3 linked regions of the Anolis sagrei genome follow. The protein of the gene in region 3 purifies or fractionates together with the protein of the main gene of each other region. This does not show direct contact. Links are inferred from orthologs where the notes say so. Each region holds a gene or a part of one and is shown on either strand. Other genes may lie near its edges. The genes, in order: RAP1GDS1, DAAM1 and RHOC.

Region 1 (7,001 bases), on a different chromosome or scaffold from region 3:
ACAAAGAAGCCTGGAGGCTTACAAAAATATCAGGAGAGGTATAATGCAAGTTGGCTTTATCACGTGGGAAAACATGACGAAGAAGAAAGACCTGATCTCTTGAGAATTTAAGAAACCCAAAAGCAAAGAAATATCCGGATGTGCTAAGCCAACATGTTTCGAGAGGTAATTGATGAAACTGATATTCTGTATATCTAAGCAGGATATAATAGATGCAAGAGAAGCCTTGCAATGAGCTGCAGCAAATACTTGGCAAGTAATTTTGGAGAAGGCTGGGTATACAGCAGTGGTTCTCAACCTTTTTCTTTCTTTTTTTTTTTGACCAGGGACCACTTTGGCCACTCTCCAACATTAGTTCCAAAAGCGTTACGAATCAGTCTTTGGTCAACTTTAGATTCGGTTTGGTTATTTGGGGCACTGATTTAGAAAACTGCATTGGATAGACCACATCAGTTCTAGTTTCTGATACAGAATAAATGCCATCCAGTAGTCGCCCTCTGCGCGCCCACAGAAAACCTTTTTTAATCATCTAGAGCTGATGTGGTAGTAGTAATCTTTCATGGGTAGTCAGCCTCTCCTTTCCCAACATCCCCGTTGCCTCGGAACTATAAGAGTTTCTCGAAACCAGTCGCTCTTGTTGCTGCGTGGTTTCGAGGCAACAGTGTAGTAATGGTGAGGCCATGGACCATATTATCCTTCTTGAGGACCACTGGTAGTCCACAGGGAACCACTGCCTTAGAAAGATGCTCTACCATCCAATAGTTGCCATCTGCTAACCCACAGAAAACCGTATTTAATAATCTAGAGCTGCGGATCTTATTATAGGTCTTGCAGCCCAGCAGTGGGCTATAGCCCACAGGTTGGGAACCACTGGTGTAGAGGCTTCAGTGTTGGATGACTCTGGAAACCAGGGTGTGGTGGTCCTCTGCTCAAGCAGCAGGTGACCTTGGGCAAGTCACACTCTCTCAGCCTCAGAGGAAAACAACACAAATCTCCTCTTGCTAAGAAAAACCTTGTGACAAGTTTTGCCAAAAATGGGAAATGACTTGAGGTCACACAACAACAACAACAACAACAACAGGTACTTAACTTGATAAGGTGCTTTATCCTTTTTTCCTCCAAACTCTGGATCAGAGATGCCTCTCCACCAGGCAAACTTCGGCCCTCCAGATGTTTTGGACTTCAACTCCCACCATTCCTAACACCATTCCTTCAACTCCCACCATTCCTGTTTTGGACTTCAACTCCCACCATTCTTCCTAAGTAAGAAGAAGACCCCTTGTACTTTATTAGGAGTTCATCCATGTGTTTTGAAACACAGTAACTGGTTTGCTTGGGTCTAAATTATAACTTTTGTTAAATTCTGCAATTATTTGAATATGAAAGGAAAATAATAAAATGCATCTGTGCTGTCCTAACCGGCTGTTAGGAATGGTGGGAGCTGAAGTACAAAACACCTGGAGGATCAAAGTTTGCCCAGGCATGTTTTACACTGTAAAATGAATGCAGTTTGAAACCACCGGGTTGTAGGTTTTTCGGGTTGTATGGCCATGTTCTAGAAGCATTCTCTCCTGACGTTTCACCTGCATCTGTGGCAAACATCCCCACAACCTCTGAGCATGCTTGCCACAGATGCAGGCAAAACGTCAGGAGAGAATGCTTCTAGAACATGGCCATACAAAAACCTACAACAATCCAGTGATTCCGGTCGTGAAAGCCTTCGACAATAGTTTGAAACCACTTTGGCTGCCATGGCTCAATGCTCTGGAATGGTTACGAGTTGTAGTTTGGTGTGGCACCAGCACTCTTCAGCAGGGAAGGCTAAAGTCCTTGTGATGCTACAACTCCCAGGATTCCTTGACATTCCATGAGCCATGACAGATAAATCGGTACGAAACAGCATTGACTGTACATTGACTGTAAGAACTCAACTCCACATGCATGGGTGGAGAATGAATGCAGTTTAACAGCCTTGTCTACACTGCTATATAATCCAGGTTTGACATCTACTCCACATGCATGAGTGCATCCACAACTCAACTCCACTTGCATGGGTGGAGAGAATGAATGTAGTTTAACAGCCTTGTCTACACTGCTATATAATCCAGGTTTGAAATCTACTCCACATGCGTGGGTGCATCCATAACTCAACTCCACTTGCATGGGTGGAGAGAATGAATGCAGCTTAACAGCCCTGTCTACACTGCCACATAATCCAGGTTTGAAATCAAGTCCACATGCATGGGTGCATCCACAACTCAACTTCACACGCTTGGGTGCATCCATGCTGCAGAATGAATGCAGTTTAATCAGCCCTGATTGAGGTCATATAATCTGGATTCAGGTTTGAATCGGATTATATGTCAGTGTAGATCTGGCATGGGCCAACTTCGGCCCTCCCTCCAGGTGTTTTGGACTGCAACTACCACAATTCCTAACAGCCTGCCGGCTGTTAGGAATTGTGGGAGTTGCAGTCCAAAACACCTGGAGGGAGGGCCGAAGTTGGCCCATGCCAGATCTACACTGACATATAATCCGATTCAAAGCAGATCACATGGATTCAATGCAGATGGATCCACCCTCAATGACATGAAACCTTTTGGGGGGCAGAGAAAAAAGACCTCCCAGGACTCCACAGACAGCCTCGAGCCATGACCAACCCAAGTGGCATGAAACTGCGTTAACTCTCCAGTGCAGATGCACCCAAGGGCTCCACCCCACTCCCAGCACTTCTGCTTCCTCCTCGCAGAAGCAGAATTGAGACTTACCCATGTCTCCGCCAAAGAGAGGAATGAAACAGGAGAGAGGAGGCGCTTCCCTCCCTCCTTCCTTCTTTCCTTAGCTCTCTCTCTCTTCCTCCTTTCCTTGGGATGAAGGAAGGGAAAGGTGGGGCCCGCGAGAGGCCAAAAAGGTTCTGTGTGTGTGTGTGTGCGAGAGAGAGAGAGAGAGAAGCAGGCGCGCGCTCCGCGACTGAGGCGTGTGCGGGGTCCCCGTGCACGCGCCGCCCGGAGAGGAGCCTGCGCGCGCACCTCCTTCCTGGCCCCGAACCCTGTTAGAATCCAGGCACGACTTTCACTGCCCCGTGGGATCACGGGGGTTGTAGTTCCGAAGCCGCGCCGGCGCGCTTTGCCAAAGGAGAGTTAAAGGCCCCCGCTGAACTACCACTCCCATGATCCCACGGCCTTGATCTCTCTTAAAGGAGGCGGAATAATAATAATAATAATGAGAGGGCTGGAAAGCCACTGCGCTTGGAAGGACCCCGCCTTGCTCCTAAAGAGAACATAGTGATAATTGAACTCCAACTTGCAAAAGTGGAACCCCCCAATGTGGATTGACATATCAATTTAGTATTTAGTATCTGCCTTTTCAAAATAGTGATTTTTTAAAAAATTGAAAAATTTTGCAGGAATATAATCATAGAATCAAAGAGTTGGAAGAGACCTCATGGGCCATCCAGTCCAACCCCATTCTGCCAAGAAGCAGGAATATTGCATTCAAATCACCCCTGACAGATGGCCATCCAGCCTCTGCTTAAAAGCTTCCAAAGATGGAGCCTCCACCGCACTCCGGGGCAGAGAGTTCCACTGCTGAACGGCTCTCACAGTCAGGAAGTTCTTCCTCATATTCAGATGGAATCTCCTCTCTTGTAGTTTGAAGCCATTGTTCCTTGTCCTAGTCTCCAAGGAAGCAGAAAACAAGCTTGCTCCCTCCTCCCTGTGGCTTCCTCTCACATATTTATACATGGCTATCATATCTCCTCTCAGCCTTCTCTTCTTCAGGCTAAACATGCCCAGCTCCTTAAGCCGCTCCTCATAGGGCTGGTTCTCCAGACCCTTGATCATTTTAGTCGCCCTCCTCTGGACACATTCCAGCTTGTCAATATCTCTCATGAATTGTGGCGCCCAGAATTGGACACAATATTCCAGGTGTGGTCTAACCAGAGCAGAATAGAGGGGTAGCATTACTTCCCTGGACCTAGACACTAGGCTCCTATTGATGCAGGCCAAAATCATGTTTAAATTACTGTATATACTCAAGTATAGGTCTAGTTTTTCAGCCCTTTTTTTAAGCTGAAAAAGTCCCACTCGGTTTATATTCGAGTCAAGGTTATTTATTATTTTACCCTGTTAGAAATACAAAATAAATGTATTGTTATTGTTGTTGTTACATTGATCATTCTACTTTATTATTGTTTTTATTATATTTGTTATTTTATTCTATTATTATTTTATTTTATTTATTATGGTTACTTCTACCCCGCCCTTCTCAACCCGAACGGGACTCAGGACGGCTTACAAAGGCACAATTCGATGCCAGCATCACATAACAGTAGTAAACAAATAGCAACAATTAACAAATTAAACATTACAACAATAAAACCAATACAAACCCAATTACTCCTCATTGACGGTCAGCGTTCGCTATCTCATAGTCCAAATTCCAATTCCACATTGTCAGTCTTGTCAGTCCTAATCGTCTGATTGTCCTTATCTACTTGTCAGATTGCCCAAAGGCCTGGTCCCACAACCACGTCTTTACTTTCCTCCTGAAGGAGAGGAGGGATGTTGATGCCCTAATTTCCCCCGGGAGTGAGTTCCACAGGTGAGGGGCCACCACTGAGAAGGCCCTGCTCCTTGTCCCCACCAACCTTACTTGTGATAGCGGTGGGGTCGCGAGCAGGGCCTCCCCAGATGATCACAAACTCCGGGGTGGGATGTAGAGGGAGATGCGTTCGGACAGATACACTGGACCCGAACAGTATAGGGTTTTGTAGGTCAAAACCAGCAACTTGAATTGTGCTTGGAACTGGACCGGCAGCCAATGGAGCTGACACAGCAGGGGGGTGGTGTGCTCCCTGTATGACGCTCCAGTGAGTAGTCTGGCTGCCGCTCGCTGGACCAGTTGAAGTTTCCGAACAGTCTTCAAGGGCAAACCCACGTAGAGTGCGTTGCAGTAGTCTATTCGGGATGTAACAAGAGCGTGGACCACTGTGGCCAGATTACTGTTATAATTACATTTTCATTATTTATCTCTATTATTATTATTAGTAGTAGTAGTATACTTATTATTTTGCTCTACTTTTATTGGAAGGATATGCAAGTACATTTACATTGAAGAAGGTTAGAATAATGATTTAATCAGAGGTCCACAGTCTAATCTTAAATTATAGTTTTATGTAAATATTCAAAACATTTAACCGGCTGATGCCTCAATTAATGCAATTGTATTGTATCTATTTTTATTTTGAAATTTACCAGTGGCTGCTGCATTGCCTACCTTCAGCTTATACTTGAGTCAATACGTTTTCCCAGTTTTTTGTGATAAAATTAGGTGCCTCGGCTTATATTCGGGTCGGCTTATACTTGAGTATATACGGTAACTTTGGGTATTTTTAGGCATTCAGCTTTGTTGCGTGGGACAGATAATTACTGCCAAATGTAAATAGTTTTTCACTATATAGCATTATTTTATTTATTTACTTACTTATTTAATATATTTGTATACCGCCCTTCTCAGCCCGCAGGCGACTCAAGGCGGTTTACAGGGGCAACAACTAAATGCCCAACAACACCATAAAAACATTTCAAACATTTCAAAACATTAACATCTATATGTAATGTTCGTTTGTGGGATTAACATACCATATATACACGAGTATAAGCCGACCCGAATATAAGCCGAGGCACCTAATATTACCACAAAAAACTGGGAAAACTTATTGACTCGAGTATAAGCCGAGGTGGGAAATGCAGCAGTTATTGGCAAATTTCAAAATAAAAATAGATATCAATAAAATTACATTAATTGAGGCATCAGTAGGTTAAATGTTTTTGAATATTTATATAAAACTGTAATTTGAGTAAATGTGCTTATGTATCCCTCCAATAACTATAAAGAGAGTAAAATAATAATATAATAATAATATAATAATAATAATAATAATAATGAAATCCAGCATATATACCTCATTTGCTGTGCCATACTTTGTTTTTGTGTCAGGATAATAATAATAATAATAATAACAATAATAATAATAATAATAATAATAGAGTAAAATAATGGAAATGTAATAACAGTAAAATTATAAATGCAGTAACAATAAAAATAAAGTAAAATAATAAATGTAATAATAAAAAGAGTAAATAAATAATAATACTACTAATAAACAGAGTAAAATAATAACTGTAATAAAGTAATAATACTGTAGAGTAAAATAATGTAAATATAATAATAATTAATATATTAAAATAATTCATGTAATAAAATTATACTAATAACAAAGTAAAGTGATAAATAACTTTGTCTCGAGTATCAGCCGAGGGGAACTTTTTCAGCCAAAAAAGGGGGCTGAAAAACTAGGCTGCAAGGGGGTGTCAGAACGGTCACCAAAGGGGGTGTCAGAAGAGTCACCAAAGACAACCAGAAAACACAGTATTTTCTGTTGGTCATGGGAGGTTCTGTGTGGGAAGTTTGGCCCAATTCTATCATTGGTGAGGTTCATAATGCTCTTTGATTGTAGGTGAATTTGGGAGCAACTACAACTCCCAAATGTCAAGGTCTATTTTCCCCAAACTCCACCAGTGTTCACATTTGGGCATATTCAGTATCCGTGCCAAGTTTGGTCCAGATCTATCATTGTTTGATTTCACAGTGCTCTCTGGATGTAGGTTAAATACAACTCCAAAACTCAAGGTCAATGCCCACCAAACCCTTGCAGTATTTTCTGTTGGTAGTGGGAGTTCTGTTTGCCAAGATTGGTTCAATTGTGTCATTGGTGGAGTTCAGAATGGTCTTTGATTGTAAGTTAACTATAAATCCCAGTAACTACAACTCCCAAATGAGAAACTCAACCCCCCCCCCCCAACCCCACTAGTATTCAAATTGGGGCGTATCAGGAATTTGTGCCAAATTTGGTCCAGTGAATGAAAATACATCCTGCATATCAGATATTTACATTATGATATGCAACAGTATATTACAGTTATGCTTAGCTTGGAGAA
Region 2 (7,786 bases), on a different chromosome or scaffold from region 3:
TATATGTATGTATTGTGTGTATGTGTATATGTGCATAAGCATGCTATGTCCGTGTGTGTGTGTATATATATATATTGTTAGGTATATATATATATTGTTAGGTCCCCCTCGATGGACTGTCACCTTGTCGTGGTGAGGGGGCTTGCGTGTTCCGATGAACCTGTGGGCACAACAACTGGAGTCGTGCACTCCCAGGAGTGGCCGCGGGGGAGGTCCCAGACCAAGCACAGTCCGAAGACCCAAAGACCTCAACGGCGGAGCAGGCGGAGGATAACATGGCACATGTTACAACGGCTGCGAAGGCGGAAGAAGGCTGCAACAGACTGAGAAGCCACGGTCATTGTGTTAAACTACATCACCAGTGGAACCTCACTCTGTGAAGTCTGTGTGTTGATCAGTTGTGCACTGACCTCCACACATTAAAAAAATCCACGCACAGGCGTCTTCCAAAGAAAATAAAAACCAACCAACCAAAGTCCCATGGCGATCAGCGAGTGGCGACGGGGGCAGGACTGTGAAATCTGGAAGCCCCTAGTCACAGACTGGCACATGGGCGGTGGGTACGGACTCAGTCGTTCTACCTCAAGGTCCGAGGCAGTTGAGTAGTTCGGCAGCTGTATCCACGACTGAGCAGCCCTATTCAGGACCCACTCTGCTCACCCCACATGGGGAGGGGGCTAGAAAAGGTGCCCCAAACATAGTCTGCCTCACTCATCCCTGACTGGACTGCCGCGTCCAGTGGGGTCACCACCCTGCGGCCAAAAAAGAAAAATGAACTTCGGTACGTGGAACGTACGGACTCTGATGGACAACAGTGGCAGTGAACGCCCCGAACGCAGAACTGCCATCATTGCAAGGGAGCTGGGACGCTTCAACATCGACATAGCAGCCCTTCAGGAGACCCGGAGAGCAGGAGAGGGACAGCTGAAAGAAGAAAAAGGAGGCTACACCTTCTTCTGGAAGGGACTGCCCAAAGAAGACCAAAGAATGCACGGAGTTGGCTTCGCCATCAGAAACGATCTGGTGAAACATCTGTCCGAAGCACCCACTGGCATCAACGAACGACTCTCAACCCTCCGAATCGATCTTGCCAAAAACCAACGGGCAACCATCATAAGTGCCTATGCACCAACACTAGATGCTGACGAAGACATCAAGGAGAAATTCTACTGTCAGCTGGACACCGTCCTATCGGGGATACCTAAGGGGGACAAAATCATCCTCCTGGGGGACTTCAATGCAAGAGTCGGGCGAGACTTCGACCTGTGGCCAGGGACCATTGGAAAAGACGGGGTTGGAAACAGTAACTCAAATGGCATCCTGCTTCTCACCAAATGTGCGGAGCACAACCTTGTCATCACCAACACGCTCTTCCGCCAGAAAAACAAGTTCAAGACATCATGGAAGCACCCCCGGTCAAAGCATTGGCACCTCTTAGACTATGTAATCACACGCGCCAGAGACCGCCGTGACGTGCTCCTCACAAGAGCCATGACAGGTGCTGACGACTGCTGGACCGACCACAGGCTAATTCGATCCTCGATGGCTATCAAGATCGCCCCCAAGCGCAGACTCCAAGGAAGGAAGACAAGGCGCAAAATGAACACCCAAGCCCTTCAGGAGCCCTCCAGACAAGCCCATCTCCAAACAGCACTCAAGGACCATCTACCCACAGAACACCCCGAAAATGTTGAGGAACATTGGAACAAACTGAAGACCTCCATCATCCAAGCCTGCGAAGAAACTATTGGATACCAAGCCAAGAAACATCAAGACTGGTTTGATGAAAATGACATCGAGATCCAACAGCTAATTGACAAGAAAAGGAAAGCCTTCCAAGCATGGCAGAGAGACATCAACTGTGCTGCTAAGAAAAAGATCTATGCCAGTGCAAAAGCTGAGGTCCAAAGAAGGACAAGAGAACTCAAGAACATCTGGTGGACAAAGAAGGCCGAAGAAATCCAACACCTGGCAGATACCCATAATGCTCAGGGATTCTTCAAAGCCACAAAGGTCATCTATGGACCAAGAAACCATGGCATACAGCCTCTACGCTCATCAGATGGAACCAAACTCCTGAAGGACCAAAACTCAATTGCACTACGTTGGAAAGAACACTACCAAAGCCTCCTGAACCGCAGCTCCAATGTGGCCGACGAGGTCCTCTCACAAATCCCACAACAACAAACCAGGGATGAGCTTGCAGCACTGCCTAGTTTGGAAGAAGTCAGCAATGCCATCAGCCAACAGAAGAATAACAAAGCCAGTGGACCAGATGGGATCCCTGCTGAAATCTTTAAAGAGGGAGGACCTGAGCTAACACACCAACTCCACCAGCTCATAGAAAAAGTGTGGGTGACCGAGAAAATCCCAGCAGATTTCAAGGACGCCACCATCATCACCCTCTTCAAAAAAGGGGAAAGAACAGACTGCGGAAACTATCGAGGTATCTCCCTTCTAACCTCCGCTGGGAAAATCCTCGCAAGAATCCTTGCAAACCGCCTTCTGCCCCTCTCAGAAGACACCCTCCCAGAATCCCAGAACGGCTTCCGCCCCTCCAGAGGAACCGTGGACATGATCTTCACTGCACGACAACTCCAAGAAAAATGCAGGGAACAAAACCAACCCCTGTACATGGCATTCATCGACCTTGCAAAGGCATTTGACACAGTGAATCGCAGCGCGCTCTGGACCATCCTCCACAAAATCGGGTGCCCTAACAAATTTGTGAACATCCTGCGGCTCCTCCACGATGACATGATGGCAACAGTTTTGGACAGCAGTGGCTCCCAAAGTGACCCATTTAAGGTGGAATCCGGTGTCAAACAGGGATGTGTTATCGCCCCAACTCTATTCTCCATCTTCATCGCTATGATACTTCACCTTGTTGATGGGAAGCTTCCCACCGGAGTGGAAATAATCTATCGGACAGATGGCAAGCTATTCAACCTCAGCAGACTGAAAGCCAAAACCAAGGTTACAACAACATCTGTTATAGAACTCCAGTATGCTGATGACAATGTCGTCTGTGCGCATTCAGAAGAAGATCTACAAGCCACTCTAAACACCTTCGCAGAAGCATACGAGAAGCTCGGCCTGTCACTGAACATTGAGAAAACCAAGGTGCTGTTCCAGCAGTCACAAGCCAATCCCTCTCCAATGCCAGAGATACAGCTTAATGGTGTCACATTAGAAAATGTGGACCATTTCCGCTACCTTGGCAGCCACCTCTCCACCAAAGTCAACATCGACGCCGAAATACAACACCGCCTGAGCTCTGCAAGTGCAGCATTTTCCAGAATGAAGCAAAGAGTGTTTGAGGACCGGGACATCCGTAGGGAGACCAAGGTGCTTGTCTATAAAGCCATTGTCCTCCCAACCCTGCTATATGCCTGTGAGACGTGGACAGTCTACAGACGTCATATGCAACTCCTGGAACGATTCCATCAGCGCTGCCTCCGGAAAATCCTGCAAATCTCCTGGGAAGACAAGCGGACAAACGTCAGTGTGCTGGAAGAAGCAAAGACCACCAGCATTGAAGCGATGGTCCTCCAACATCAACTCCGCTGGGCCGGCCACGTTGTCCGGATGCCTGACCACCGTCTCCCAAAGCAGTTGCTCTACTCCGAACTTAAGAACGGAAAACGGAACGTTGGTGGACAGGAAAAGAGATTTAAAGATGGGCTGAAAGCCAACCTTAAAAACTCTGGCATAGACACCGAGAACTGGGAAGCCCTGGCCCTTGAGCGCTCCAGCTGGAGGACAGCTGTGACCAGCAGTGCTGCAGAATTCGAGGAGGCACGAGTGGAGGGTGAAAGAGAGAAACGTGCCAGGAGGAAGGCGCGTCAAGCCAACCCCGACCGGGAACGCCTTCCACCTGGAAACCAATGCCCTCACTGCGGAAGAAGATGCAGAGCAAGAATAGGGCTCCACAGCCACCTACGGACCCACAAGGAAATCCAAAATGGAAGACCATCTTACTCGTCCAACGAGGGATCGCCTAAGTAAGTAAGTAAGTAAGTATATATTGTTAGGTGCATGTTTATGTATGTGTGTCTATGTGTGTGCATGTGTATTATGTGTGTATATATGTGTCTATGTATGAGTGTTAATGTTTTATATGTATATGTATGTGTGCATGTTTATTGTGTGTATGTGTTGTATGTGTATATGTGTCTGTGTGTGTTACATGTGTTAATGTTTTATGTGTATATATATGTATGTATTGTATGTGTATATGTGTGTGTGCATGCTATGTGCATGTGTGTGTATGTATGCATATATATATAGTTAGGTGTATATGTTTATGTATGTGTGTCTATGTGTGTGCATGTATATATGTCTGTGTATATATTTGTCAATGTATGAGTTTTAGTGTTTTATATGTATATATATGTGTGCATGTTTGTTGTGTGTATATGTGCGTGCGTGTATATATGTATGTGAATATACGTGTGTGCATATATGTGTGTACATTATGTGTGTCTATATTTGTGTGTGCAGATATTCGCACGTACTATACACTACACACACATATATATATATATATCTTGCAGATTATGCCTTGTGCAGCAACCGGCATCCAGGAAACCAGCAAGCTGCATCTGGCCAAGCAGGAGAAGGGCGGGGGAAGCTGGACCACGCGCGGCTTGCCGGGAAACGTAGTCTTTTCATCAGAGCCGACTCCCTGCGGGAAACCGATCGAGGACTCCATTTCCCGGCGAGGAGCGCGGCGGAGAGAGGGGGCGTGGCTTGCTTGGCCGGGGCGTCCAATCAGGGCGGGAGGGGATGATGTCACCCGCGGGCTTGTAAGGCTCGGCGGCGGCTTGGCCGGAGGAAGAGGAGAAGGAGAGAGAAGCCACAGAGGGAGAGAAGCCGGAGAGAGGAGAGGCAGGAGGAGGAGGCGCAGCTGGGTCCGCGGGAGGCGGGGAGGGAGGGCGAGTGAGCTGGCTCCCTTGGCGTCCCTGCGGGGCTCCGGCGAGGAGGAGAAGGAGGAGGAGAAGGAGGAGAAGAAGGATGCGCCTGGGCAGGGGCTGCGGCACCAGGTAAGCCGAGCAGAGAAGGGAGGGAGGGAGGGTGGGCGCCTCCCTCTCTCCTTCTCTCCCTCCTTCTCTCCCTCCCATTCATCCCGGATGCCGGAGGGAGAGGGAGGAAGGAAGGAAGGGGCAGAAGGGCTGGGTTGGGTTGGGGGCGTTGAGGCACCTCTCCAGCTGCTTCCCCTGCAAAGAAGGGGCTTCCTGGTTGATGCTCTTGAGGAAGAACCCTTGGTTTTGGGCAGCAGATTTGGGAAGCAGCTCTTCTTCCCTTCTCCAGTGGAGGTGGATGTCCATTGCGTCTAAAGTGTGGATGGGCTCGATCTGCATCATCTGCCTTCCGCAGTGAGGGTATCTGTTTCCAGGAAAGACTAGCGCTCCAGCTGGAGGTCAGCTGTGACCATCAGTGCTGTAGAATTGGAAGAGGCAGGAATGGAGGGCGAAAGAGAGAAACGTGCCAAGAGGAAGGCGCGTCATGCCAACCCCGGGTTCCAGGAAAGACTAGCGCTCCAGCTGGAGGTCAGCTGTGACCATCAGTGCTGTAGAATTGGAAGAGGCAGGAATGGCGGGCGAAAGAGAGAAACGTGCCAAGAGGAAGGCGCGACGCGCCTTCCTCTTGGCACGTTTCTCTCTTCCACCCTCCATTCCTGCCTCTTTGAACTCCACAGCACTGATGGTCACAGCTGACTTCTACCTCGAGCGCTCAAGGGCCAGGGCTCCCCAGTTCTCGGTGTCTATGCCAGAGTTTTAAGGTTGGCTTTGAGCCCATCTTGACGCGCCTTCCTCTTGGCACGTTTCTCTCTTTCACCCTCCATTCCTGCCTCTTCAAACTCCACAGCACTGATGGTCACAGCTGACTTCTAGCTCGAGCGCTCAAGGGCCAGGGCTTCCCAGTTCTCAGTGTCTATGCCAGAGTTTTAAGGTTGGTTGTGAGGCCATCTTGACGCGCCTTCCTCATGGCACGTTTCTCTCTCTGCCTCTTCAAACTCCACAGCACTGCTGGTCACAGCTGACTTCTAGCTGGAGCGCTCAAGAGCCAGGGCTTCCCAGTTCTCAGTGTCTATGCCAGAGTTTTTAAGGTTGGCTTTGAGCCCATTTTTAAATCTCTCTTCCTGTCCACAAACATTTCGTTTTCCGTTCTTGAGTTCGGAGTAGAGCAACTGCTTTGGGAGACGGTGGTCGGGCATCTGGACAACATGGCCAGTCCAGCAGGGTTGATGACAGAGGACCATTTGTCCGCCTGTCTTCCCAAGAGATTTGCAGGATTTTCTGGAGGCAGCGCTGATGGAATCGTTCCAGGAGTTGCATGTGACTTCTGTAGACAGTCCACATCTCGCAGGCATATAGCAGGGTTGGGAGGACAATAGCTTCATAAACAAGCACCTTGGTATCCCTACGGATGTCCCGGTCCTCAAACACTCTCTGCTTCATTTGGAAAAAAGCTGCACTCGCAGAGCTCAGGCAGTGTTGTATTTCGGTCTCAGTGTTGACTTTTGTGGAGAGGTGGCCGCCAAGGGACTGGAAATGATCAACATTTTCTAATGTTACACAATTAAGCTGTATTTCTGGTATTGGAGAGGGATTGGCTGGTGACTGCTGGAAGAGCACTTTGGTTTTCTCGATGTTCAATGACAGGCCGAGCTTCTCGTATGCTTCTGCGAAGGTGTTTAGAGTGACTTGTAGGTCTTCTTGTAGGGGAAGAAGCAACACAGTTTGGACTAGAAGCAGGCATGGATCATAGGATATAGATCAAGACTACACACACATAGGGGAGTTCCTGCTTCATTTTTGGATAGTTTTCATTCCCTGGAGCACATTTTGTTAACAGATTATTGATATTGCCGACTGAAGGGAATTAAGTGCATCAATAGGGAGATAGATCAAAGGTAGATGTTTTCCCCTGACATCAAGGCCAGTCGTGTCTGACTCTCGGGGTTGGTGATCATCTCCATTTCTAAGGCGATGAGCCGGTGTTGTCCATAGACACCTCCAAGGTCATGTGGCCGGCATGACAGCATGGAGCGCTGTTACCTTCCCACAGAAGCAGTACCTATTGATCTCGCATTTGCATGTTTTTGAACTGCTAGGTTGGCAGAAGCTGGGCCTAACAGTGGAATCTCACCCTGCTCCTGAGATTCGAACTGCCAACCTTTTGGCCAGCAATTTCAGTAGCTAAGCAGTTTAACCTGCTGCATCACCAGCAGCAGGAGGAGGGAATTAGGTGCATTGATAGGGAGATAGATCAAAGGTAAAGGTAAAGGTTTCCCAACCTTTTGGTCAGCAATTTCAGCAGCTCAGCAGTTTAACCCGCTGCGCCACCAGCAGCAGGAGAAGAGAATTAGGTGCATTGATAGGGAGATAGATAAAAGATAAAAGTTTTTCCCTGACATTCAGTCTAGTTATGTCCAATTCTGGGTGTTGGTGCGCATCTCCATTTCTAAGCCGAAGAGCCGGCGTTGTCCATGGACACCTCCAAGGTCATGTGGCCAGCATGACTGCATGGAGTGCCGTTACCTTCCTGACAGCATGGAGTACCGTTACCTTCTTGCCCGAGAAGTACCTATTGATCTACACACGTTTGCATGTTTTTGAACTGTTAGGTTAGCAGAAGCTGGGGCTAACAGTGGGAGCTCATGCCACTCCAAGGAATTGAACCTGTGACCTTTTGGTCAGCAAGTTCAGCAGCTCAGCAATTTAACCCACTGCACTCCCAGGGCACTCCATAGATCAAAGGGGAAGTGGAATTGCAGTCA
Region 3 (7,845 bases):
TTCCATAGATGAAGGGCCACCACTAAGAAGGCCCTGTCTCTTGTCCTCACCAACAGTGCCTGCGGAAGAGGTGAGACCAAGAGCAGGGCCTTCCAGACGATCTTAACCTCCGAGGTGGAACATTGATCCATTTGGTTTAACCCAGATTCTCATGCCATCAACAGTGATTCTGAAACTCCCTGTGCATGGACCAGGCCTGCAATGTGAAGCTGCCTATATAAAAGGGCATTAAAAACTATCAAATGAATAGATATGCATTTTAAAAATAAAATAAAATAAAACAGCAGTCGCTGTGAAATGTGCTCTTCCCTGGCTGTTGTCCTTCCTTGCCACATCATTAATTTCTTTCCACTTGTCAACTTCTACCCATCCTACTGTACTAGCAATAGGTCATTGGATGCATCTACATCAGGCCTGGGCAAACTTGGGCCCTCCAAGTGTTTTGGACTTCAACTCCCACAATTCCTAACAGCCTCAGGCCCCTTCCTTTCCCCCCTTAGCCGCTTAAGCTGAGGTGCCTCTTGGTTCTAGAAAAAAGGCAGGATGGAAATAAAGCTACATACAATCAAATTCTAGTATCTCGGGAAAACATTCCACTTGTTTCTCACGAGTTCTATCTTGAGCTGAGTGGGTGAAGTACTACATGAATTATAAGAGGTGCATCTACACTACAGAATGAATGCAGTTTGACACCACTTTAACTGTCATGGCTCAGTATTATAGAATCATGAGAGTGGTCGTTTTGCCTTCTCTGCCAAAGAGTGCTGGTGCCTCACCAAACTACAATTCTTATGATTCCATAGCATTGAGCCAGAACAGTTAAGGTGTTGTTATACTACATTCATTTTAAAGTGTAGTTGCTTTCCTATGCCATCAGGTTACAAAAATTAGGAATGCTAACCGTTAAAGTGATGTCAAACTGCTTTAAATGTACTGTGCAGTTACACCACTGGCATACTTCCCATTTGGTTCACTGGGGATGCATTGACACGGTGGCATAAATGCTGTTTGACACCACTTTACCGCCATGCTATGGAGTCATGCATAGAATTTCAAAAAGTCTGTCACCTTTTCTGCCAAAGAGTGCTGGTGTTTCACCAAACCCCAACCCCGAGGATCCCATATTGTTGAATCATACCTGTTAAAGTGGGATTATGGTAAAGGTAAAGGTTTCCCCTTGACATTAAGTCTAATTGTGTCCGACTCTGGGGGGTGGTGCTCATCTCCATTTCTAAGCTGAAGAGTTGGCATTGTATGTAGATGCCTCCAAGGTCATGAGGCCAGTATGACTGCATGGAGTGCTGTTACCTTCCTGCTGAAGTGGCACCTATTGATCTACTTACATTTGCATGTTTTCAAACTGCTAGGTTGGTAGAAGCTGGGGCTAACAACAGGAGCTCACCCCGCTCCTAGGATTCAAACCGCCAACCTTCCGTGGATTCAAACCACTGAACTTCCGGTCAGCAAGTTCTGCAGCTTAGTGTTTTAATCCACTGCACCACTGCAGCTCCCTCAGTGGGGTTAAACCGCATTAATTCTACAGCATATACACAGCATGAGGCAGGATAGACACAGCTCCCACAATACAATAAGTGTGTATACACGTGTGCTTCAAGTCATGTGTCAACTTATGGTGACCACATGACATTTGTAGGGCTTTCTTCTTGTGGAGAGAAAAAGCAGGGCATACTTATTATTATTATTATTATTATTATTATTATTATTATGAAAGGGCAAAAGAAGATGATGAGGCATTATATAATAATAATAATAATAATAATAATAATAATAATAATACGATAAACATTGACAAAGTCACGATCTGTCAACTGCAAAAGGCCACCTTACTTGGATCTGCATGCATCATTTGAAAATACATCACACAGTCCTAGATGCTTGGGAAGTGTTCAACTTGTAATTTTGTGATACGAAATCCAGCATATAGATCTCATTTGCTGTGACATACTGTGCTTTTGTGTCAATAAAATAATAATAATTCTTAGGAAAAGAATGAGTGAAAGGGCGAAAGAAGAAGATGAGGCACTTGCAGTCATTGCATCCATTTTGGGCTGGATCCACTCTGCCAAATAATAGCTTTGAGCACTTTTAAAATCAGTTCTAAGGATCTGAACTGCTCATTTTGAATGAAGACCATTGATGTATGTGCAAACAAACTCTAAAATCATAACAGTAAATAAAAAACAGGGAAATTCCAGACAATAAACAATCAGGAACACTCTCAACAAAGGATTCCCCCAGGCTGGAAACAGCCAGGCTTTGAAGCTGCGAGGCCATTCAATGCTAATCAAGATGGCCAACTGAAACATTCTCACCTACCTCCAACAGACAAGAGTTCTTTCTCCCACCCTGGGCATTCCACAGATATATACACCCCAATTTCGTAGCTTCCAACAGACCTCACAACCTCTGAGGATGCCAGTGAAAGGTCAGGAGAGAATGCTTCTGGAACATGGCCAGACAGCCCAGAAAACACAAAACAACCCAGTGATTTCAGCCATGAAAGTATTCGATAAGACATTGATGTTCCATTCCATGTTAATGTTAGTATATTTTAGGCTTTTACATTATACTGGAATGCTTTTAATGTGAGTCTCCTTTTGTGGAGAGAAAAAGCGGGGTATAAATAAACATCACCAGCACCATCATCATGCAGTTTGAGCTGCATCATCATCATCATCATCACTCTCATCATCCTCATGCAGTTCGAACTACCCTGAGCTGCATTCTATGGCAGTGGATGGGTCCAGCCTCAGTCTCTGAGGCGCGACAAGAGCCCTTGGCGAAGTGATACCCAAGTAATCTCTGGATCTCACCAGCAGGTGAGGTCCCAAAAGGTGCCTCCGGGGCCTTCTCTCCCCCACCCCCATACGACCCCCACCCCCACCCGGTGCCTTTACCTTGCTGGGAGCGGCCGTCCCCTCCGTCCGACTCGACCCGAAGAGAGAGGCGGAAACTCCGGACGACTGACCCAAGGCTTGGCCCCGCCTCGAAGGAGGGGCTGGGGCCGAGGAGGGCGTCGCTGTCCTGCCCCCGAGAGGAGTTTGGGGAGCCCTTCGCCTAAGGCAGTGGCCCTCCTCGACCTTCCTAATGGCGCCACCCCTTCAGACAGTCCCTCATGCTGTGTTGTGTTGACCCCCGACCACAACATGATTTTCCTTCCTACTTCAGAACTGTCATGTTGCTCCTGTTCTGAAGCATATTATAAATCTCTGATAGGCAGGATGTATTTTCAGTCACTGGACCAAATTTGGCACAAATACCCGATACGCCCAAATTTGAATATTGGTGGGGTTGGGGGAAGATTGATTTTGTCATTTGGGAGTTGTAGTTCCTGGGATTGATAGTTCACCTACAGTCAAAGAGTATTCTGAACCCCACCATGGATGGAATTGGACCAAACTTCACACACAGAACCCGCATGAGCAAGAGAAAATACTGGAAGGATTTGATGGGCATTGTGTTTGGGAGTTGTAGTTCACCTACATCCAGAGAGCACTGTGGATTCAAACAATGATGGATCTGGACCAAACTTAGCGTGAATACTCAATATGGGGTTTGGGGTCATGGGGTTTGGGGAAAATAGACCTTGACATTTGGAAGTTGTAGTTGCTGGGATGGAACTGAACCAAACTTGGCACATTTGGTAGTTGCTGTTGCTGGGATGTATGCTATAAACAAATAGCATTTCGAACCCTACCAATGCTAGAGTTGGGCCAAACTTCCCACACAGAACCCCCATGATCAACAGAAAATGCTGTGTTCCTTGATGGTCTTTGGCAATCCCTCTGACACCCAAATGTGAATACTGGTGAAGTTTAGAGAAAATAGACCTTGGCATATGGGAGTTGCAGTTGCGGAAATTTATAGTTCACCTACAATCAGAGCATTCTGACTCCAGTAACAATGGAATTGGACCAAACTTGGCACACAGAACTCCATGACCAACAGAAAATACTGGAAAGGTTTGGTGGGCATTGACCTTGAGTTTTGGAATTGTAGTTCACCTACATACAGAGAGCTCTGTGGACTCAAACAATGATGGATCTGGACAAAACTTGGCACAAATACTCAATATGCCCAAATGTGAGCACCAGTGAAATTTGGGGAAAATAAACCTTGACATTTGGAAGTTGCAGTTGCTGGGATTTATAGTTCACCTACAATCAAAGAGCATTCTGAACTCAACCAACGATGGAATTGGACCAAACTTGGCACACCGAATTCTCATGACTAACAGAAAATACTGGAAAGATTTGGTGGGCATTGACCTTGAGTTTTGGAGTTGTAGTTCACCTACATCCAGAGAGCACTGTGGACTCAAATAATGATGGCTCTAGACCAAACTTGGCACAAATACTCAATATGTCCAAATGTGAACACAGGTGAAGTTTGGGGAAAATAGACCTTGGCATTTGGGAGTTGCAGTTGTTAAGCTTTATAGTTCACCTACAATCAAAAAGCATTATGAACCCCACCAGCGATAGAATTGGGTCAAACTTCCCACACAGAACCCCCATGATCAACAGAATATACTGTGTTTTCTGATAATCTTTGCCGACCCCTCTGACACCCCCTCGTGAACCCTCAGGAGTCCCGACCACCAGGTTGAGCAACACTGTCCTAAGAGGAGAGAGAGAGATGGAGAGGAGAGGGGAGACAATATAGGATCATAGTTGGAAGAGACCCCCAAGGGCCAACCAGTCCAACCCCCTGCCATGCAGGAAAAACACATTCAAAGCCCTCTCAGCAGATGCCCATCCAGCCTCTGCTTGAAAACCTCCAGAGAGGGAGATTCCCTCCTCAGTTCTTAGCTTCAGGGAATTCTTACTGGAATCTCTTCTCTTGCCATTTGGATCCATTACTCCATTGGGTTGCTGTGAGTTTTCTGGGCTGTCTGGCCATGTTCCAGAAGCATTCTCTCCTGATGTGAATTGGGAGCAGCGATTAGATTTAGGTCAAATATTTAATATCAGGAGTCTGTATTTAACAGAAACAAGCCCCTTTTTTGCACGTGGTAATGCTTCCATGGAATATCCTCCATAAAAAGACTCACCTGGCACCAACTTTGCAATCTCAGACTGCATTGTAATAGGTGGTCTGTGGTTTGCTCTTCTCCACACTCACATTTCATGGACTCCACTTTGGGGCCCCATTTCTTAAGGTTGGCTCTGCATCTCATGGTGCCAGAACGCAGTCTGTTCAGCGCCTTCCAAGTCACCCAGTCTTCTGTGTGCCCAGTGGGGAGTCTCTCATTCATTATCAGCCATGGGTTGAGGTTCCGGGTTTTAGCCTGCCACTTTTGAACTCTTGCTTGCTGAGGTGTTCCTGAGAGTATCTCTGTAGATCTTAGAAAACTATATCTTAATTTAAGGCATTGGCGTGCTGACTGATATCCAAACAGGGGGTGGGTCAGAAATGTCACTGCCTTGATTCTTTCATTATTGGTTGCCTCTTCCCTGCAGATGTCAGGTGGTGCAATACCAGCTGAACAGTATAATTTTTCCATTGGTGTGATATGCGGCATATCTCATTAAGAGCCACATCCACTGTTTTGTAGTGAGAAGTGTTCCACACTTGGCATGTGTACTCATCGGCAGAGTAACAAAACGCAAGAGCAGCAACCAGAAGCGACCAGAAATCCTAATGAAGACGTGATAATGATATAAAAAGAAATAGTAAATAAATATACCATTAGGAGGTGTCATGATCATGTATGTTTTCTATGTAGTACCCAAGTAGCTACTATGGGCAGGAATTGGCAATATCCTGATTTATTTAAGAAGTTCAAGTTCAGGGCAAGATTTTGGCTCTGCTCTGTTGGGTGGATAATCGGACCAGCCTAGACTTGCCTGTCATATGCCAAGTCTTTTTTATCGAGAGACAGACATTGTCATTGACTGATTAATTGATGATCAGAAGAAAGAAAAGGATTAGGCATCTGCTTTAGATTAAGAGGAGTAGAATTTCAATTTACCTCTATTGCTTGCCAAGGAAGAATACACTTGGAGGAGCATCATACACAGTATCTGAAGTGCACCGCAATACACAAATCTGCAACACAAATTTATATTTCTTTAACTTTCCACATCCTGTTTATACTGGACCACATGTACGGAAATGAATTAAACAAGGTGTGTGCCTGAAAACTCCTGATTCTGTCTGGCTCAGTTTAACATATATATCCTTGGACAAGTAGTGGCTGCTTGGGAAGGCCAATATTGGGCAATTCTGGTTTGGATTAAAGCATGACTTTGTAATATAGCTTACAGAGCTTTGTGAGTTCTTGGCATCTTCACCTCTGCTCATGCCATCATTTTAGAGGGATGCTTCTATTGATTTCCTGGATTTCACAAAAGTCTTTCCTAAGAATTTTTAATGCTGTGTATTATTATTTTGTTGTCAAAGACCGGAATCACTGGGTTGCTGTGAGTTTTCCTGGCTGTACGGCCATGTTCCAGAAGCATTCTCTCCTGATGTTTTGCCCACATCTATGGCAGGCATCCTCAGAGATTGTGAGGTCTGTTGGAAACTAGGCAGGTGAGGAATATATATCTGTGGAATGTCCAGGGTGGAAAAAAGAACTTTTGTCTTTTTTAAACTTTGCAATTCACACTTGCCTCAAACAAAGGATTCCCCCAGGCAGGAAGCAGCCAGGCTTTGAAGCTGCAAGGCCATTCAATGCTAATCAAGGTGGCCGTTTGCAAAATTCATATCTGCCTCAAGCGGACAAGAGTTACTTCTTCTTCCCTGGAGATTCTACAGATATATAAACCCAATTTTCCTAGTTTCCAACAGACCTCACAACCTCTGAGGATGCCTGCCATTGATGTGGGCAAAACATCAGGAGAGAATGCTTCTGGAACATAGCCATACATCCCAGAAAACTCACAGCAACCCATTATTATTATTATTATTATTATTATTATTATTATTATGTTTGTGTTTATTTATACTTTTTCTCTCAGCAAGCACCTCAAAGACTCAAAGTGGTTTGGTATGATGAAAGTGGCAATTTTTCTCCTCCCTGATTTTTAAGTGTAGTTTTTACAGTTATAGTGCTATTGAGCCGAGGTTCCATTTCACTAACCTACTAGTGCTTTGTCAAGATAAAGGGAGGGTGGACATTCACAAGCACACTCAGAGAACAAAGCATACTGGTTTATTTCAATATGCCTTGCAATTTAAATCAAACCAACTGGAGAAAAGAAATAAAACGTTGGAGTCAGTGCCAGAAACTGCCAGGGCTCAATAGAAATCTTGTTTAGATTAAAGAGAGAGAGAGAGAGAGACTACAGCAATAAATACCTCAGCTTCTTGATATCCTTAACCTGCCTGAAGAGCCAATAGTATGGATTTTTAAGTGGCTTAAACTGGTCTAACTGGCTTAATGCCAAAGCTACCAACAGGAAAATTCCAGATATAATCTTGTAGTAAAAACTAAAGACAAAACAACTACAACTACCACCCCTCAAAAATGCAAGAACCCAAAAAAGAAAAACAAGAAAGAAGAAAAGTGAGACAGAGATTTGCAGTACACACGGCTTGTAACAAACCAGGCACACCAGCTTCCTAAATCTGGATGAAAGGCTTTCTCATTCTGTTTCACACGGGGATTTGGGAAAGCAAAGCTGATCTTACTTCCAGCAATAGGCTGGAACTCCTGTGAATGAGGCTGGAAAGAAAGGCCCCACAAGGCCCTTGGCTTCAACCCAGACAAACCTCAAAGCTGTTGCTGTTTATAAAAAGATTTCAGACACTGGTTCTTCTTCTTCATGTGCTCTGCTCCAAAAGAGATGTGTCCATAGAAGGAAAGGGGAAAAACAG

What was found.
Region 1: the proteins of RHOC (region 3) and RAP1GDS1 purify together in Homo sapiens (co-immunoprecipitation; 3 studies listed by BioGRID and IntAct, counting the BioPlex papers as one, with this or other methods). This does not show direct contact. The link is inferred for Anolis sagrei from reciprocal best matches to the Homo sapiens genes RHOC and RAP1GDS1.
Region 2: the proteins of RHOC (region 3) and DAAM1 purify together in Homo sapiens (affinity purification with mass spectrometry; 3 studies listed by BioGRID and IntAct, counting the BioPlex papers as one, with this or other methods). This does not show direct contact. The link is inferred for Anolis sagrei from reciprocal best matches to the Homo sapiens genes RHOC and DAAM1.

Annotation. Positions count from the first base shown.
Region 1 is NC_090025.1:25,786,624-25,793,624, reverse strand, and holds the start of RAP1GDS1 (rap1 GTPase-GDP dissociation stimulator 1), read right to left. Parts: upstream 3,024-7,001; 5' UTR 2,773-3,023; coding exon 2,769-2,772; intron 1-2,768. UniProt on the Homo sapiens protein: Acts as a GEF (guanine nucleotide exchange factor) for the Rho family of small GTP-binding proteins (G proteins) that stimulates the dissociation of GDP to enable subsequent binding of GTP.
Region 2 is NC_090021.1:333,954,526-333,962,311, reverse strand, and holds the start of DAAM1 (disheveled-associated activator of morphogenesis 1), read left to right. Parts: upstream 1-4,785; 5' UTR 4,786-5,045; intron 5,046-7,786. UniProt on the Homo sapiens protein: Binds to disheveled (Dvl) and Rho, and mediates Wnt-induced Dvl-Rho complex formation. May play a role as a scaffolding protein to recruit Rho-GDP and Rho-GEF, thereby enhancing Rho-GTP formation. Can direct nucleation and elongation of new actin filaments.
Region 3 is NC_090024.1:200,860,382-200,868,226, forward strand, and holds the start of RHOC (rho-related GTP-binding protein RhoC), read right to left. Parts: upstream 3,024-7,845; 5' UTR 2,919-3,023; intron 1-2,918. UniProt on the Homo sapiens protein: Regulates a signal transduction pathway linking plasma membrane receptors to the assembly of focal adhesions and actin stress fibers.